3 linked regions of the Xenopus tropicalis genome follow. The protein of the gene in region 3 interacts with the protein of the main gene of each other region in a biochemical or structural test. Links are inferred from orthologs where the notes say so. Each region holds a gene or a part of one and is shown on either strand. Other genes may lie near its edges.

Evidence for each region. The genes of interacting proteins can lie anywhere in the genome.
Region 1: the proteins of rab5a (region 3) and rbsn form a complex in vitro, tested with the Homo sapiens proteins (3 studies listed by BioGRID, with this or other methods). The link is inferred for Xenopus tropicalis from reciprocal best matches to the Homo sapiens genes RAB5A and RBSN.
Region 2: the proteins of rab5a (region 3) and appl1 form a complex in vitro, tested with the Homo sapiens proteins (2 studies listed by BioGRID and IntAct, with this or other methods). The link is inferred for Xenopus tropicalis from reciprocal best matches to the Homo sapiens genes RAB5A and APPL1.

What each region holds. Positions count from the first base shown.
Region 1 is NC_030680.2:132,267,546-132,273,180, reverse strand, and holds part of rbsn (rabenosyn-5), read right to left. Parts: intron 5,624-5,635; coding exon 5,537-5,623; intron 5,035-5,536; coding exon 4,932-5,034; intron 4,621-4,931; coding exon 4,516-4,620; intron 3,189-4,515; coding exon 2,124-3,188; 3' UTR 1-2,123. UniProt on the Homo sapiens protein: Rab4/Rab5 effector protein acting in early endocytic membrane fusion and membrane trafficking of recycling endosomes. Required for endosome fusion either homotypically or with clathrin coated vesicles.
Region 2 is NC_030680.2:148,650,018-148,654,608, reverse strand, and holds the end of appl1 (DCC-interacting protein 13-alpha), read left to right. Parts: intron 1-443; coding exon 444-494; intron 495-1,714; coding exon 1,715-1,804; intron 1,805-2,453; coding exon 2,454-2,606; 3' UTR 2,607-3,072; downstream 3,073-4,591. UniProt on the Homo sapiens protein: Multifunctional adapter protein that binds to various membrane receptors, nuclear factors and signaling proteins to regulate many processes, such as cell proliferation, immune response, endosomal trafficking and cell metabolism.
Region 3 is NC_030682.2:45,577,801-45,583,435, forward strand, and holds part of rab5a (ras-related protein Rab-5A), read left to right. Parts: intron 1-2,216; 5' UTR 2,217-2,310; coding exon 2,311-2,476; intron 2,477-4,959; coding exon 4,960-5,111; intron 5,112-5,635. UniProt on the Homo sapiens protein: The small GTPases Rab are key regulators of intracellular membrane trafficking, from the formation of transport vesicles to their fusion with membranes.

The DNA.
Region 1 (5,635 bases), on a different chromosome or scaffold from region 3:
TTTATGCAAACTGTCCAACAAACAGTTATACAAAACTAAGGACAAGCAGCTTGATACATGCTTAATGTCATTCTCCCAGTGCCCAAGGGGACAAATGATTTGCCTGTGCACCCCATAATGCATGTAACCCACTCCTCTCCATGTATACATCAGGAGGTGCAGGGGCCAGCAGGAGGGAGGGAGCAGGGTAAATGTGGGTCCTTAATGGGTGCCCCTCAGTTGTAGAGGTCTGTAGTTATGCCCCTGGCCACTGGCCATGTTGGCCTGTAGTGTCAGAGCTGTAGGAGCTCCCAGTTGCCATTGTATAAATAACAAAGTGCAAACACTGTTCTCAGAAAACTCACACTTATCACTCTGCTTTGTACAAATACTGCTTTTGGTTATGGCGCACTGCCGCGCACACACGCGTACACACACCAACACACATACACACACGCACCAACACACATACACCCACACTGTATTTGTTCCATGTAGATTTGTTCCTATGTGCCTTGGAATAAGTGGTTTTTACAAAATACAATCAAAGATAAAACAGAACTCAGTTTGGACTTGGCCAAGAATGATTTGTACTTGGTAATATTCAGTTCAGCCAATATTTAAGGATTTGGTTGCCTCAATCAATCCCTTTGCTGTCACATGTCAGATGATAAAGGAAGGGCAAATGTATAATGGTTTTGTTTTTAGCCCTAGAAATAGTAGTGTCAGAGAGCTAAAAACTTGTCCTAATACGGAAATTTCAAGTTACTGAGGGGGTATCAATTTATTAGTTACTGCCCCCCCCCCCGGTGACCTAAATCGCTTATGTCCAACCCCAGGTTGATGCTCCATTTCATTAGAAAGCACCCTGGTTCATATCTGCACAGTGGGCCACCACCATATTGCCCCAGGCATCCCCTGTGAGACGTTCTTAAATACACATGTGCCAAATCTGAACTCACAAGGGGGACACGCGGGAGCAGCGCCCCAGGTCACACATTCACAGGTGGGACTCCATTCTTAGCTTTCAGCCCATTTACGGAGTGATGGCCAATTCAATTAAATAAAGTGGCCAACGTTATCATACCATGAGGCAGAGCCCTGGATCAATGACAGGTAAAAGGATAAGAAAATATGGTCTCTGTCGTGCCAGTCCTTTCCCTTGAAACTGGCCCTGAAGTGCTAAATAATTACAGATCCTGACCCTGTACTAAAACCACTATTTCCTTTTTACCTTTTAAACATATGTTGTCCATAGTTAGTGTTAACTGGGACCAATAGCGTTTTATGAGCTCCTTTCATGAACACTTGTTAATGGGTTTGTTAAAGGGCAACTATCCCCAACCAACAACAAAAATTAAATTGGTTTTACATCCATATCTAGTCACATGGGTTGGGTATATGTCCACTTTAAAACTGGACCCACTGTGTGAATTTACTATGTTATACTTACACAAAGGAATAAGGACAGACTGTGGCTCTGAGATCTAACCTTATTAATGGAAAACATATGTATAGGCATAAAAGTATTTTTTACAGAAACATTGGTCTAGGCTACAGCCCTTTTTTAAGCTGATATGATACAAGGGGCCAAGGCTGATATTTAGAGTTTTTCATGGCAGCATGGCCCTCCCAATCAATCACATACACATCACAGCATGAAGCAATGCATTGGATGACTGAGAAAATAATAACCACTTACTCCTAATGGTATAATGCCCTTTAAAGGGTGGTATACCCTATTTATAAGTGACTTTGCATTTATCTTCCCATACTGTTTGCAAAGATCATTCTATCTCTGTATATATTACACAGACATGGTAGCTGTCAGATTGCTGCTTTCAGCTGAGGACAGATGCTGGGACAAGCATATTGGCAGCTCCCATTCATATGTAAAAGTGGATGTAACCAATGAAATCATGTAACAAACCAAGCTGCAATACTTTACTGCCTACTGAAAAGAAACAAATTGGAAGCCTATATGTGACAATGAAAACTGAATGGGCACTGAAAAGCCACAATCTTGACCACATAACCCTTTTGGTGCTACAAGTGCCCAGGACTGCAAAGGTTTTAAATGATCCAGAACTCTGAGCATGACCCGCTGTTCGGCCCCATGGAGGTGTTTTTCTCACCACTCTGTGTTATTTAATTTGCTCCTTCTGTTTGGCAAGTGTCTTCTTCAGTTCTCGCAGATTCTCAGTTAGAACCTCTACTTCATCCAGCCGGCCACTGTGCTTGGCATCAAAGATGTACGCCTTGATGTTATCAATCTGTTGCAGCAGCAGATCTTCTTCTATGACCTCTTCATCCTGGGTCTCCTCACTGTCCTCAAATGGGTTTCCTGGGATCTGATCCTCATCAGTTTCAAAGGGATTCTGGGAAATACCTGATGCGCTATTACTGTCTGTGGAGCATTCAAAGGGATTGCTTGAGGCAGGGGCTGTTAAATGTTTATTATCCTCTTCCTTACTATCCAAGCCATTCTCATCATTCTCGTCAAAGGGATTATACTCCTTCCTACCATTGTGATGTGTGTGGAGAGGAAGCAAAGGTGCTGGTTCATCATCCTCATCTTCGAAAGGGTTAGAGGGTGTAACTTTACTCTTCTCCACTTTGGGCAAAACAGGGGTTGTGGTCATGGAGTGATTTGGAAGTACATGGTAGTCCTCCACATCCAGTTTGCTTTCAGTAACACGCTGGGATGGAAGGGATTCGTTGAGGTCACGTTTGGGAAATTGTAGGTCCAGAGCTGCTGTCTGTTTTTCCTGCCACCCCATTGGCTGTCCCTGCTCTCTAAAATCCAATGAATGAGTTCTGTTGTGTTGAGCTAAGCCTTTGAGTTGCTCGCGTTTCACCTCTCTTTTCCTCAGCACTTCCAGCTGCTCCCTCTGCATGGCCTCCTCCTCAGCCAGAACCTTGGACATCTGGATGGCTGTTTCCACCTGCTGCTCGTCGTACTCCTCCTGCAGTTGTCTAAGGTTATCCTCCAGCATCTGCACCTCGTCCACTCGCCCAGCATCTTTGGCTTGCCGGATGTACGATGTGATGTTTTCAATCTGCTGGAGAAGGGGGTCTGACATCTCTCTGTTTCGAGGGTGTCCGGATGTCGGAAGCCAGCCCTCAACTTTGCGAATCTGACCACTCGGAGACAGACCACCATTGCGTACATCCCTTTTCTTGTCATCACCGGCCTTCTGTGCTTCAGCCTGCAAAAGAAAATACAGAGAAGCTGCTGAAAGAAACTTCCTCCAGACACTCACAAAAATAACATGTCCTTCTGCCATGGATTTAGCCAAGTGTAGAATTTAGAGCTCTAAACTCTAAAACTGCAGCTTGCACTTTTCCAGACAGAGAGCTGCATGTATCACCACTTTTGTTAATGGTGCTTGGGTCAGAATGCTCAATCCTTCCTGCCTTCTATTCCAAATCAGACACTGCTGCGCCTATTGAGGCAGGGAACCCTGGAGCTACTGCAACCTTCTTATCAGGCAGTAGCTCCAGGGTTCCCTTTGTGGTCTTTTTGCCAAAGGGCATGTGCAGCAATAATAGGGCACACATGTCACTCGCATGCCAAACACCAGAAATGATGCCAGCGAACCCTGACCAATGGCCAGTCGGATTTAGAAAATAGACTGTGCCTGATTTGACAAAAGCACATGTGCCGCTACATCAACTTCATCAATAGAATCGCCCATTTGGATCTGCAATGATACCAGAAATCAAGAAAAAATGTTGGAATGTGGGAAAAAAAGCAGATTGTACTTATAATTGCACTTGACGTAAACGTAAAGCCTTCTTCTCTCTATACTTGCCCTTGTAGGTTAAAAGGGTCTGTCACATGGCTAAAGGTCCCCATACACGGGCCGATTATAGCTGCCGATATCGGTCCCTTGGACCCATTCGGCAGCTTATCAGCCCGTGTAGCGGCAGAACCGAGGGGCCTGGCTGACCGATATCTGGCCTGAAATTGGCCAGATATCAATCGGCCAGGTTAGAAAATCCAGTTGGATCGGGGACCGTATCGGCTTGTTGATGCGGCCCCCGAACCGACTGCCCCATTGCCGCCCACATAATCCGATCGTTTGGCCCCAGGGCCAAAATGATCGAATAATTTTTTTTTTTACCTAAAAGCTCCCCGATATCAGCCACCCATAGGTGGGGTTATCGGGTGCAGATCGCCAAGCGAGCGGATCTCAGCATGTATGGGGACCTTTAGTGTTGCCACAATTATTTAATCACAATAATTTAGGTAGTATTATGACTTCCAGTATCTTTTATGGGGTTTGGGGGTGATGGCCCAGGCCCAGACTGGCAATCTATGGGTTCTGGCCAAAGCCAGAGGGGCTGCTGTAAGATGCCATAGACAGTCACTATTTATTGGGCTGGTGGGCGCAGTTTGGGCCTCTGTGAACACCAAGGCCAGTTTTGAATCCCAGTCTGGGCCTGGAATCGTCATACAATTGAACTAGCAGATATATGTTGGTAGCAACAGCTAGCAGTTGCACTATGATAGATTACTATAGGATTACTTACCTGTCGCTCTCTCTGCAGTTTCTGCTCATTCTCTTGCCTCCGCTTCTGTTTAAGCTCCTCGTATATTTCTTTAGTTGGCAAAGACATTAAGCCCAGTAATTTTTCCTGAACAGAAAGAGAAATTAACAAAAAGGATGAGTCAAGAGTCCTTCATGTCAAGTGACTCACTGCCTTTACTGGTCAGACCAGTAAAACAGAAAGTGAGAGTCTCATTACTGCTCTTGATGGAGGTTACAATTAACAGGAATTTGACTGTGCATGGTACTGAGTGAGAATCGTGGAACTGAACTTACCATAAGCATTATATTCCCTAATCTATTTGCCAACTACAATTCAATAACAGTGTTGCACCAGCATCTCATATGCAGAGATTCTAAACAAATAAATGTCAAGGAAGTAAATAAACAAATCATTACCTGAACAAACAAGGTGGCCGAATATCTCACCATCTTCTGTAACTGCTGTGTTTTAGGGTGAGGCTTGGGTTCTTCATTCATTCCAAGGGTGAGAATCTTCTTGCTGGCAAACAATACAAATGATTATATGGGCAATATATAGCAAAGGGCTTTTTCTAAAATGGTGGAGGCCAGCAGGATACTTTTGAAGCAAAAACACATGTTTAGTAAGAATAGTACAGATTTCTTCCACCTATCAAATATTGCTATATTAGAGTTATCTGAGCATAAGCACTCACCACTGGGCTGTGCTTTACACCCTGCAAAAATGAAAATCCAGAGTAAGGTGCCATGCACATGGGCAGAAAGTACAGGGATCCCTGTCCCCAGTCCATCCCAACACACCCTACCTAGGGCATCTCAATGACACACAAGCTAACCACCTACCTTTCCTCTATGTAGTGCTGCCAAAGGAATGCATCATTCCAGTGTTTGGCCACCTTAAGGCATATCATTTGATACACACACAGGATGGCACTGGACAGTATTGGAGTTTTCTCTGCCTGCATTTTTCCACATCACATATACAACACATGCTGTTTACAACACAAAATGAGGACTCTCACCTTAATGCATCTATTAACTCGTAGTATTTTTGCAACTCAACCCGCAGGTTATTGGTATGGTCCAAATTGTAGGTTGTCTCCCCAGCACTGCAGATATAA
Region 2 (4,591 bases), on a different chromosome or scaffold from region 3:
TTTATTCCTTATCTGTCTATGCAGCCCCGATACTATTCATTTTCCTATCTCTCGTTTAAACCACTGCCTGGTTGCTAGGGTAAAAAGGACCCTAGCAACCAGCTGCTAAAATACCAAAGTGGAGAGTTGCTGAACAAAAAGCTAATTAACTGAAAAACCATAAATAATGAAGACCAATTGCTAATTGCAGTGTCTAAAACATTAAAAGTTAATTATAGGTAAACTTCCCCTTTAAGTCGGGGGTGGGGCTGCATTCGCCAGTCCCTGATTTTATCTCCTTTGAACCTGATGATTATTGTATTTATTCTGATTAAGCTGATGGGGTAGTTTCTATGGTAACTGTAAGCATTGTTTTGGGACCAGGGATTGGCTGATGGGTGGGCAGGTCTGTCCAATCCACATGGCGTTGCTTCTTACAAATCTCACATTTGTTCCCTTCACAGATCTGCGATTCCGTGGGGCTGGCGAAACAGATCGCTCTTCATGCAGAACTTGTAAGTGTCGCTGAACTGCAACTCCCTGCATGGCTTGTTAAAGGGGTTGTTCACCTTTAAATTAAGTTGGAATTGGAATTTACGCAGCTATAATATGAATAGGGGGCTGTTCCCGCTGAATTGTGCTTAGTACAGGGGAATCCCTATGTGCCATAGTTTTATGGTATCTCTCTGTACAGGCTATGAGCAAACTTAGGGGGCTGTTCCTGCTGAATTGTGCTTAGTACAGGGGAATCCCTATGTGCCATAGTTTTATGGTATCTCTCTGTACAGGCTATGGGCAAACTTAGGGGGCTGTTCCTGCTGAATTGTGCTTAGTACAGGGGAACCCCTATGTGCCATAGTTTTATGGGATCTCTCTGTACAGGCTATGGGCAAACTTAGGGGGCTGTTCCTGCTGAATTGTGCTTAGTACAGGGGAATCCCTATGTGCCATAGTTTTATGGTATCTCTCTGTACAGGCTATGAGCAAACTTAGGGGGCTGTTCCTGCTGAATTGTGCTTAGTACAGGGGAATCCCTATGTGCCATAGTTTTATGGGATCTCTCTGTACAGGCTATGGGCAAACTTAGGGGGCTGTTCCTGCTGAATTGTGCTTAGTACAGGGGAATCCCTATGTGCCATAGTTTTATGGTATCTCTCTGTACAGGCTATGAGCAAACTTAGGGGGCTGTTCCTGCTGAATTGTGCTTAGTACAGGGGAATCCCTATGTGCCATAGTTTTATGGTATCTCTCTGTACAGGCTATGAGCAAACTTAGGGGTCTGTTCCTGCTGAATTGTGCTTAGTACAGGGGAATCCCTATGTGCCATAGTTTTATGGTATCTCTCTGTACAGGCTATGAGCAAACTTAGGGGGCTGTTCCTGCTGAATTGTGCTTAGTACAGGGGAATCCCTATGTGTCATAGTTTTATGGTATCTCTCTGTACAGGCTATGAGCAAACTTAGGGGGCTGTTCCTGCTGAATTGCGCTTAGTACAGGGGAATCCCTATGTGCCATAGTTTTATGGTATCTCTCTGTACAGGCTATGGGCAAACTTAGGGGGCTGTTCCTGCTGAATTGTGCTTAGGAATCCCTATAGTAACACAATAGGAGGGTTATTGAAGGTACAGAGGAAGTTTTAGGAGCAAAATAAAGCAAAAAGAATCAATGGGGAAAAAATGAAGGTTTGCTCATTAAAGGTCATGTGACCTGATCCGATATCTTTGCTCGCTGACAGGATCGCCGAGCGTCGGAGAAGCAGAAAGAAATCGACAAAGTCAAAGAGAAACAACAGAAAGAAATCAGCAAACAGAAACAGATAGAAAAGGTAGGTCCCTACCCCTGAGCAGTTTTTACCCCCGGGGGGGGGGGGGCAATACTCCCTTTGTGCTTCTCATGCTACTGTTAAACTGGTTATCAGATTTTCCTAAAGTATGAAAAAGTCACTTTTTGGGTGCAGTTTTCCTTTAACGTTTAAAGGGGTAGTTCACCTTTTAATATGTTGTAGAAATTGATATTCAGCGACTATTTGCAATTGGTCTTCATTTTTTAATATTTTATGGTTTCAGCAGCTCTCCATTTGGTCTTTTAGCAGCTATCTGGTTGCTGGGGTCTTATTTACCCCAGCAACCAGGAAGTGGTTTCAACGACAGATGGGAATATGAATAGGGGAGGGGCCTAAATATAAAGATAAGGAATAAAAAGTAACAATAAAACTGGAGCCTCACAGAGCAATAGGGTTTGGCTGCCGGGGTCAGTGACCCCCATTTGAAAGCTGCAAAGAGTCAGAAGAGGAAGGGAAATAATTAAAAAACTATAAATAATGAAGACCAATTGCAAAGATGCCAGGAATAGGCCATTCTATAACATACTAAAAGTCAACGAAAAGGTGACCCGCCCTAATGGCAGTGTATCAGTTGGGGGGCCCCGGTTGCTCCCCCGTTGGGGCGATCTGACCGTAACCTCTGTACCCCCAGGATCTGGAAGAGCAGAGCCGTTTAATCGCCGCCTCCAGCAGGCCCGCCCAGGCCAGCGCCGAGGGGCAGTTTGTGGTTCTGAGCAGCAGCCAATCAGAAGACAGCGATGTGGGGGACGAGGGGAAGAAGAAGCAGCGAGAGTCGGAGGCGTGACGGAGGCCGATTAAAGGCACGGGCAGGACACATCGCCTTTTATTATCCCCGTAATCACTCGAGTACAAGCGCTCATTACTTTGCCTTTGGGAAGCGGCCATGTTTGGGGGCCGCCATACTGACCCGGGGCGCCCCCGCGGAACCTTCGGTGCCCCCCAGACCAAGCCTATTGTGATGCTGCCTCCATTTACAGGACAATAAAGGGGAAGCGCCGAGCTTGATGGGAGTTGGGCGTCGGCCTCGCGCCGTCCGTCGTCGTTTGTAATGAATCGTTGTCGTAACGGGACGCTCTTGTGCCCCATCGTGATTAAACCTTTTAATTGCTGGGGGCGGGGGGGGGGTTAATGCGTTTGCCCTCAATGCCCTCTTGAATGTCCTGCCGCCGTCCATAAGGGCAGTCAGGTGTATGGTTTAAAGGGCAAGCTAACCTCAAGATTAAAATTTTAATAAGTCACATTCTAAGAAACTTTGCAGTTGGTCCTTTTTTTTCTGCTGATCTTTAATGTTAACCCTTTAGCATCTGAAACAAAGTGGGCCTGTTCCAGGCACGCCCAGTCTGTGCAACTCCCAGTATAGGGGTAGGCGGCACGTACTGACTGGGGGATCCCGGGAGTTGCCCACTTCTACCTCTTACCTGTCAGGTTCTATAGGGATAAATGTAGAACAGTAATTACAGGGGGTCAGACAATGATATGAGGTATAGCGCCCCCTGCTGGGAGCTCCGACTTTCCACAACCACTAAGGGCAAAGACACACAGAGCTACTAGTAGCAGTGTACAGGGGCCCAGGGCCACTGGTTTGTCTGGGGTAGTAGGCACAGGCACCAGTAGGCACCCCCCCTTACTGCACCTTAATGCCCCCCCCCCCCACCCGGGCACATAATTAACAATAGTCACTCCCCCCAGGGATTATGGGAGGCAAGAAAGTAGCTGATACTGGTTGTCATGGAGAGTTTTGCCTTTACCAGTTCAGTGATACCATGTGACACAAACAGATGGAATGATGGGTAAGTGGGTTGGGCCTGTAAGTGCGTTGCCTGATTCAGCGATACCATGTGACACATACAGATGGAATGATGGGTAAGTGGGTTGGGCCTGTAAGTGCGTTGCCTGATTCAGCGATACCATGTGACACAAACAGATGGAATGATGGGTAAGTGGGTTGGGCCTGTAAGTGCGTTGCCTGATTCAGCGATACCATGTGACACAAACAGATGGAATGATGGGTAAGTGGGTTGGGCCTGTAAGTGCGATGCCTGATTCAGCGATACCATGTGACACAAACAGATGGAATGATGGGTAAGTGGGTTGGGCCTGTACGTGCGATGCCCGATTCAGCGATACCATGTGACACATACAGATGGAATGATGGGTAAGTGGGTTGGGCCTGTAAGTGCGATGCCTGATTCAGCGATACCATGTGACACATACAGATGGAATGATGGGTAAGTGGGTTGGGCCTGTAAGTGCGTTGCCCGATTCAGCGATACCATGTGACACATACAGATGGAATGATGGGTAAGTGGGTTGGGCCTGTATGTGCGATGCCCGATTCAGCGATACCATGTGACACATACAGATGGAATGATGGGTAAGTGGGTTGGGCCTGTAAGTGCGATGCCCGATTCAGCGATACCATGTGACACATACAGATGGAATGATGGGTAAGTGGGTTGGGCCTGTATGTGCGATGCCCGATTCAGCGATACCATGTGACACATACAGATGGAATGATGGGTAAGTGGGTTGGGCCTGTAAGTGCGATGCCCGATTCAGCGATACCATGTGACACATACAGATGGAATGATGGGTAAGTGGGTTGGGCCTGTATGTGCGATGCCCGATTCAGCGATACCATGTGACACAAACAGATGGAATGATGGGTAAGTGGGTTGGGCCTGTACGTGCGATGCCCGATTCAGCGATACCATGTGACACATACATATGGAATGATGGGTAAGTGGGTTGGGCCTGTAAGTGCATTGC
Region 3 (5,635 bases):
GGAGATCCACATTATGGAAAGTTCTCTTATCTGGAAAGCCCAAGGTCCCAAGCATTCTGGATAAAAAGTCCTATACCTGTACATGGAAAATATCTCCTCTTATGTTTTCCAAAGCAAGCAACATGGAAGCTCCAACTCAGTTATGCATATATAAGTGCAGACAGTTAACTTACAAATAGGCTACGTGATGTTAATCCCCATGTGTTTGGGATATTTTTTTTTCTGTATGCTGGTAAATATTTGGCTTCTTTGTTTTTAGTTAAAATGCTTCTTTGTTGCTAAGATTACTGTTCCTAGGAATCTGTTGAGGTGCTCTCTTTGCCACTACAGAATAGTCAGTTGTTAGTAGATGGCAACAGTCAATGGTAAAATAATATAGAAAAAAGTAAGGGTCCCAGATCTCAATATAGCTACAGACTTATCCAATTAGGTTGAAATTTGATGTGTATTTACTGGCTTGATTATCAACAGAACTATAGGAGAGTGACTGCCAAAACCACATGTCTGACTGCAAAGTGGGGACTTTCTTTTAATGAATAGTTTGCATCAGGACACTTTATTTTCTCAATTTTTACATCTGAAGCTGCTTTCCATTTTATAACCCAATTTTTTTGTTAGGGTTGAAATGACATTGTTCAGAGAGGATTAAGTGACAGCTGTGCTAGTAGAAGCCATATGCCATTTAAAATCTAAAGCCAAAAAATCCCACTGAAAATAATCACATGGGACCTATTTACCTGTATGCTATTCATTCTCCTGTGTTTAGACCAAGTGTTAACTTGTGTTGCTCTTTTGCACATAAGTACACTGTACAATATAATTTAATTTGATTGTCTGTGTTTTAGGCATGGATTGTACATCTGGATGCCCTGAGGGCCCTCAAAGTGCTTTTCTTGGCCACCTGTCTGCCCAGTGGCTCAACAGGCTTAAAGGAGAACTGGAGCTTGCTAAAAAAAAGTAGGCTAGAAATGCTACACATTATATTTTGAGGTTCTGTATCAGCTCAAGGCAACCACAGCCTTTTAGCAGTGAAGATCTGTGAATCCGAAGTTGTCCCCAGTAGCTCCCCATCTTCTTTTCTGCTGATTCTCTGCACATGCTCTGTGCTGCTGTCACTTACTGAGCTTAGGGACCCACTCACATTATACTGTATGTAGAGAATATAATAGTCACAATTTAAAGACTGATTAGTAAATAATTAAAATTCTCATCACATGGCAGCTCAGAAACCAGTGCAGTGAATATCAGAATTTAATAGTCAGCCCGGTAGCATCACCCTATATGACAGACAAACCTTATTTTCTGTTTGATAATTTGCTACAATCCCCAAGTTTAGCTTGTCAGCAGTTGCTCACTGATTTTTTTTTTTAGGAGTGTCTGTAAAACTGCACATGCTCAAAGATGGTGATTTGCATTTGTCTGAATCATTACTGTTGTATAAGTTATTAAAATTTAGGCTTGTGCAGTATTATAAAATATGGCATTTCTACCCACATTTGTTTTTACTTTTTCTCTAAGGTGGCCATACATAGCGTGTATATGGGCCCCCCGGTGGGCTTATTCAACTGATATTTCTCCAAAAATTAGCTACATGTCATTTCGGCTGGTTTAATTTTACTGTCTGATAAGGACCGTATTGGTTTGTTGCTGCGGTCCTCATCTGACTGCACTGTAGGCCCATCTGTATATTGAGAAACCTTTGAAAAAGTAGGTCAGATTTTTAAACCCCACAGATGCAACTGCTGAAGCCATAAGGGGTTCCACAGAGAATTGTCTGCCTATTGGCCTATTGTCCACAAATATGCATATTGTATACATTTTCTGGACTAACTCTTCATTACCAATATCTTCTATAGCTTCCCAGTCAGTGGTAAGAATTTGCTTACTACATTTTAAGACATGGGATGCTGGTATCTTTGGGTATTTGTAGCCTTTAAGGAGGTTATGTAATAAAAAGTATAATTACCTGTTATTGTCTGCTGTGTGTTACTGAACCTGGGTAACCCTTTTTCCCCTCTCTTTCATATGTACTGTTATCCATTTTTCTCTGTTGGTGGATGAATGTTTTCATTTTACTCTGTTGGTGGATAAATGTTTTAGTTAGTGTGTTTTTGGTTTTGTTATAACGGAGTAGCACTCAATAAGGTTTCTAAAATCAGTCATTTATTTGGATGTTTGTATATTAATACACACTGTATTATGTTCTCATTTAATAGATTGCCAGAAGGATAAGTGAGCATCCAACCCACCCTTTGCTTATTGGGCTGCAGCCGACTTTGTAATCATCAGACGTTTTGCCTACAATCAAACATGGCAAACCGAGGCGGAGCTACCAGACCGAATGGACCGAATGCAGGAAATAAAATCTGTCAGTTTAAACTTGTCCTTTTAGGAGAATCCGCAGTTGGAAAGTCTAGTCTAGTGCTTCGCTTCGTAAAGGGACAGTTTCACGAATTCCAAGAGAGCACAATTGGAGGTCAGAGAAATATTGCAAAGTATTACAGCTGTATTTAAAAATGTAATCAAAACATCACAAATATATACATTATATATTGAATGGTACCCCAAATTATTAGTCACCAAGCAGTTCCATGACCATTTAAAATAATGAGGCCACAGGCAGGGTCCTGGAACTCTGAGGTGACTTTATACTTTACAATAGAAAGTACTTTATTAACAATATAGTGGGGATGCATGAATTCAGGATTCGGCATTTTCCAGCAGGATTCGGCCTAATCCATGCCTCTGGCCATACTTAGAACACGTTGTTCTCTATCCCCTTCTTCATCTCCGTTTGCATATGGAAATTTTAGGATTCAGATTCGGTCCAGTATTCGGCTGAATCTTTCACAAAGGATTTGGGGTTCAGCCAAATCCTTATAATGGATTTAGTGCACAGGTTTCCCTAAATGAAATTGAAGTTTAAAACACTGTTTAACCCTTTCTGTTCAACTGGACTGTCTCTTAAAACTGTAACAGGAGCCAGGTCTATAAATCAGCTTTAATTAGCTGGCTTGCAACATTGTTTCTGTAGTCCGAGCCAGGAGTGCTTTTAACTGCAATTACATGTGCAAATACTGTAAACCCACTGAAATCTATAAATGTTAAGTCGCTCATGATTGTATATGCTTTTATCATGCAAAAAATAGTTTTTGTGGGGAGGATGCCTTTAAGGCTAGAGTCATATGAGTGATTAGGTCATTTGGTGTGGCCTAGCTGCTTAGGTGAGGGCTGGGCAGGTACACTGCAGGCTCACTGCTGACATTGCAGAACTGCACACATCATTTGTTGAATGAGCTGCTGAGTATCCAATTACCTTAAATCAATCGTTAATCTGATATCTAGAGCTATAGGGCACCAGCCAACATAGTTGTGTGTGAGAGGGTGATATGTCTTTGCCTTACTTGTGTAAATTCTACTAAAGGGTATATAAGCTTAAAAACAGATATTTATGTAAATGTATTCATAATACTTCTCTGAGAACTCATGAAATTTACTTTCACTTTTCTGAGATATTGGCAGTTTTAGACGCTTCGGCTCAGCAGCTCCCTTTAAAGGCCAAATGTGTCGTAACAAACCTGTCTATGCATTAGATTTCCTTTAATACTGTGATTTATAACAATTTGTCTGTATGACTCCCATTGCTGTCATTTGGTAACACTGGACTGGTTTAATTCCTGATCAGATGGAAAACTTCAGAGGAAAATGTAACGTTGCTTTTCTCTGTTTTGCACACACTTTATGTTGCTCTTTATTATGTTTAGAATATCAGGATCTGGAGTTAGAGCCAGATTACATTTTACCACCCATGTGCCCAAGTAACCAAGAATATAGATAGCAGTTTACATAATAGGCTTATCATTATACAGGTATGGGGCCTGTTATCCAGAATGCTTGGGACCTGGGGTTTTCTGGATAAGGGATTGTTCCGTAATTTGGATCTCCATAATTTAAGTCTGCTAAAAATCCTTTAAATATTGAATAAACCCAATAGGATTGTTTTGCCTCCATTAATTATCTTAAATATCTTAATTAGGATCAAGTACAAGGTAATGTTTTATTATTAGAGAAAAAATGGAAATCACTTTTAAAAATTATAATTATTTACTTACAATGGAGTCTGTGGGAGACAGGCTTTCCGTAATTTGGAACTTTCTGCTACCAGCTGCAGTTCTGCAACTCTCGCCATTTCCCTGCAGCTGGAAGGCCACAGGCTGTGGAAGTCTTTTGGTAATATTTAAAATGAACTATAGAGGGGCTGTTTCTGTGATATTACTACACTGAATTTTGGTCCTTTTTTGATTTTATATTTCAGAGGAGACATTCTATAATCACATAGGATTTTTACTATTAAAGAATATTTTATATACTATACAGATATGGGACCCGTTATCCAAGATTCAGATTTTTAAAAAGTATTTCCTTTTTCTCTGTAATAATAAAACAGTACCTTGTATTCGATACCAACTAAGGTATAATGTATCCATATTGGAGGCAAAACAATCCTATTGGGTTTAATTAATGTTTTATTGTTTTTTTAGTAGACTTAAGGTATAGATATCCAAATAACAGAATTCCCCTTATCCGGAATACCCGAGCATTCTGGATAATGGGTCCTATACCTATACTGTGTTCTGGGCTAAAGCAAGTCATATATAGGAATTCTTAGTAGTTCTGGGAGAGTCTTAAACAACTGAATCTTTGACTTGTCAGCTATGTATAGAGCCGTATTCAGTGGGACCCGAATCTTTGGGCCAACCCACGAAGGGGCCATTTGCATTGGCCTATAACTTCCAACTTGGTTATGATGAAGTTGTAGGTAGCCCATGCATGCCAGTGTAGTAATTATTTGGGGATTTGCAATATATCATTTGTAATATGAAAAAACATTACTTTTTTTGTTGTTGTTTTGGATTTGTTTTTAAAACTTACTTTGTCTCTTTATTTTTCTCTTTACAGCTGCTTTCCTTACCCAAACAGTCTGTCTCGATGATACAACTGTAAAATTTGAAATTTGGGATACAGCTGGTCAAGAGAGGTATCACAGCTTGGCCCCAATGTACTACAGGGGAGCCCAAGCTGCAATAGTTGTATATGACATTACAAATGAGGTAAGTATAAGTGTATTTTACTGCATTATTTTTTTTGTAATAAAATTAAACTTTTATTCAAGTTTCTTCATTCTGTATGTTCCTATAATTTGCAAACCCAGTATATTCCTGAGTTTACAATATTTCTCCTGTTCTTCTTGTTAGAGTTGATTTTTACTTAAAATGGCAAGGTTTAGGCCTTGGGTATCAAATGGTCAATACTTTAATATCATTCTAATTATAAAGATGTGTTTTATATGTACAGGTATAGGGCCCATTATCCAGAATGCTCGGGACCAAGGGTATTCCGGATAAGGGGTCTTTCTGTAATTTGGATCTCCATACCTTAAGTCTCCTAAAGAATCAATAATACATTAATTAAACCCAATAGGATTGTTTTGCATCCAATAAGGATTATTTATATCTTAGTTGGGATCAAGTACAAGGTATGGTTTTATTACTACAGAGAAAAAAGAAATTGGTTTTAAATTTCTGAATTATTTGATTAAATTGGAGCTTTCTGGATAACAGGTTTCCGGATAAGG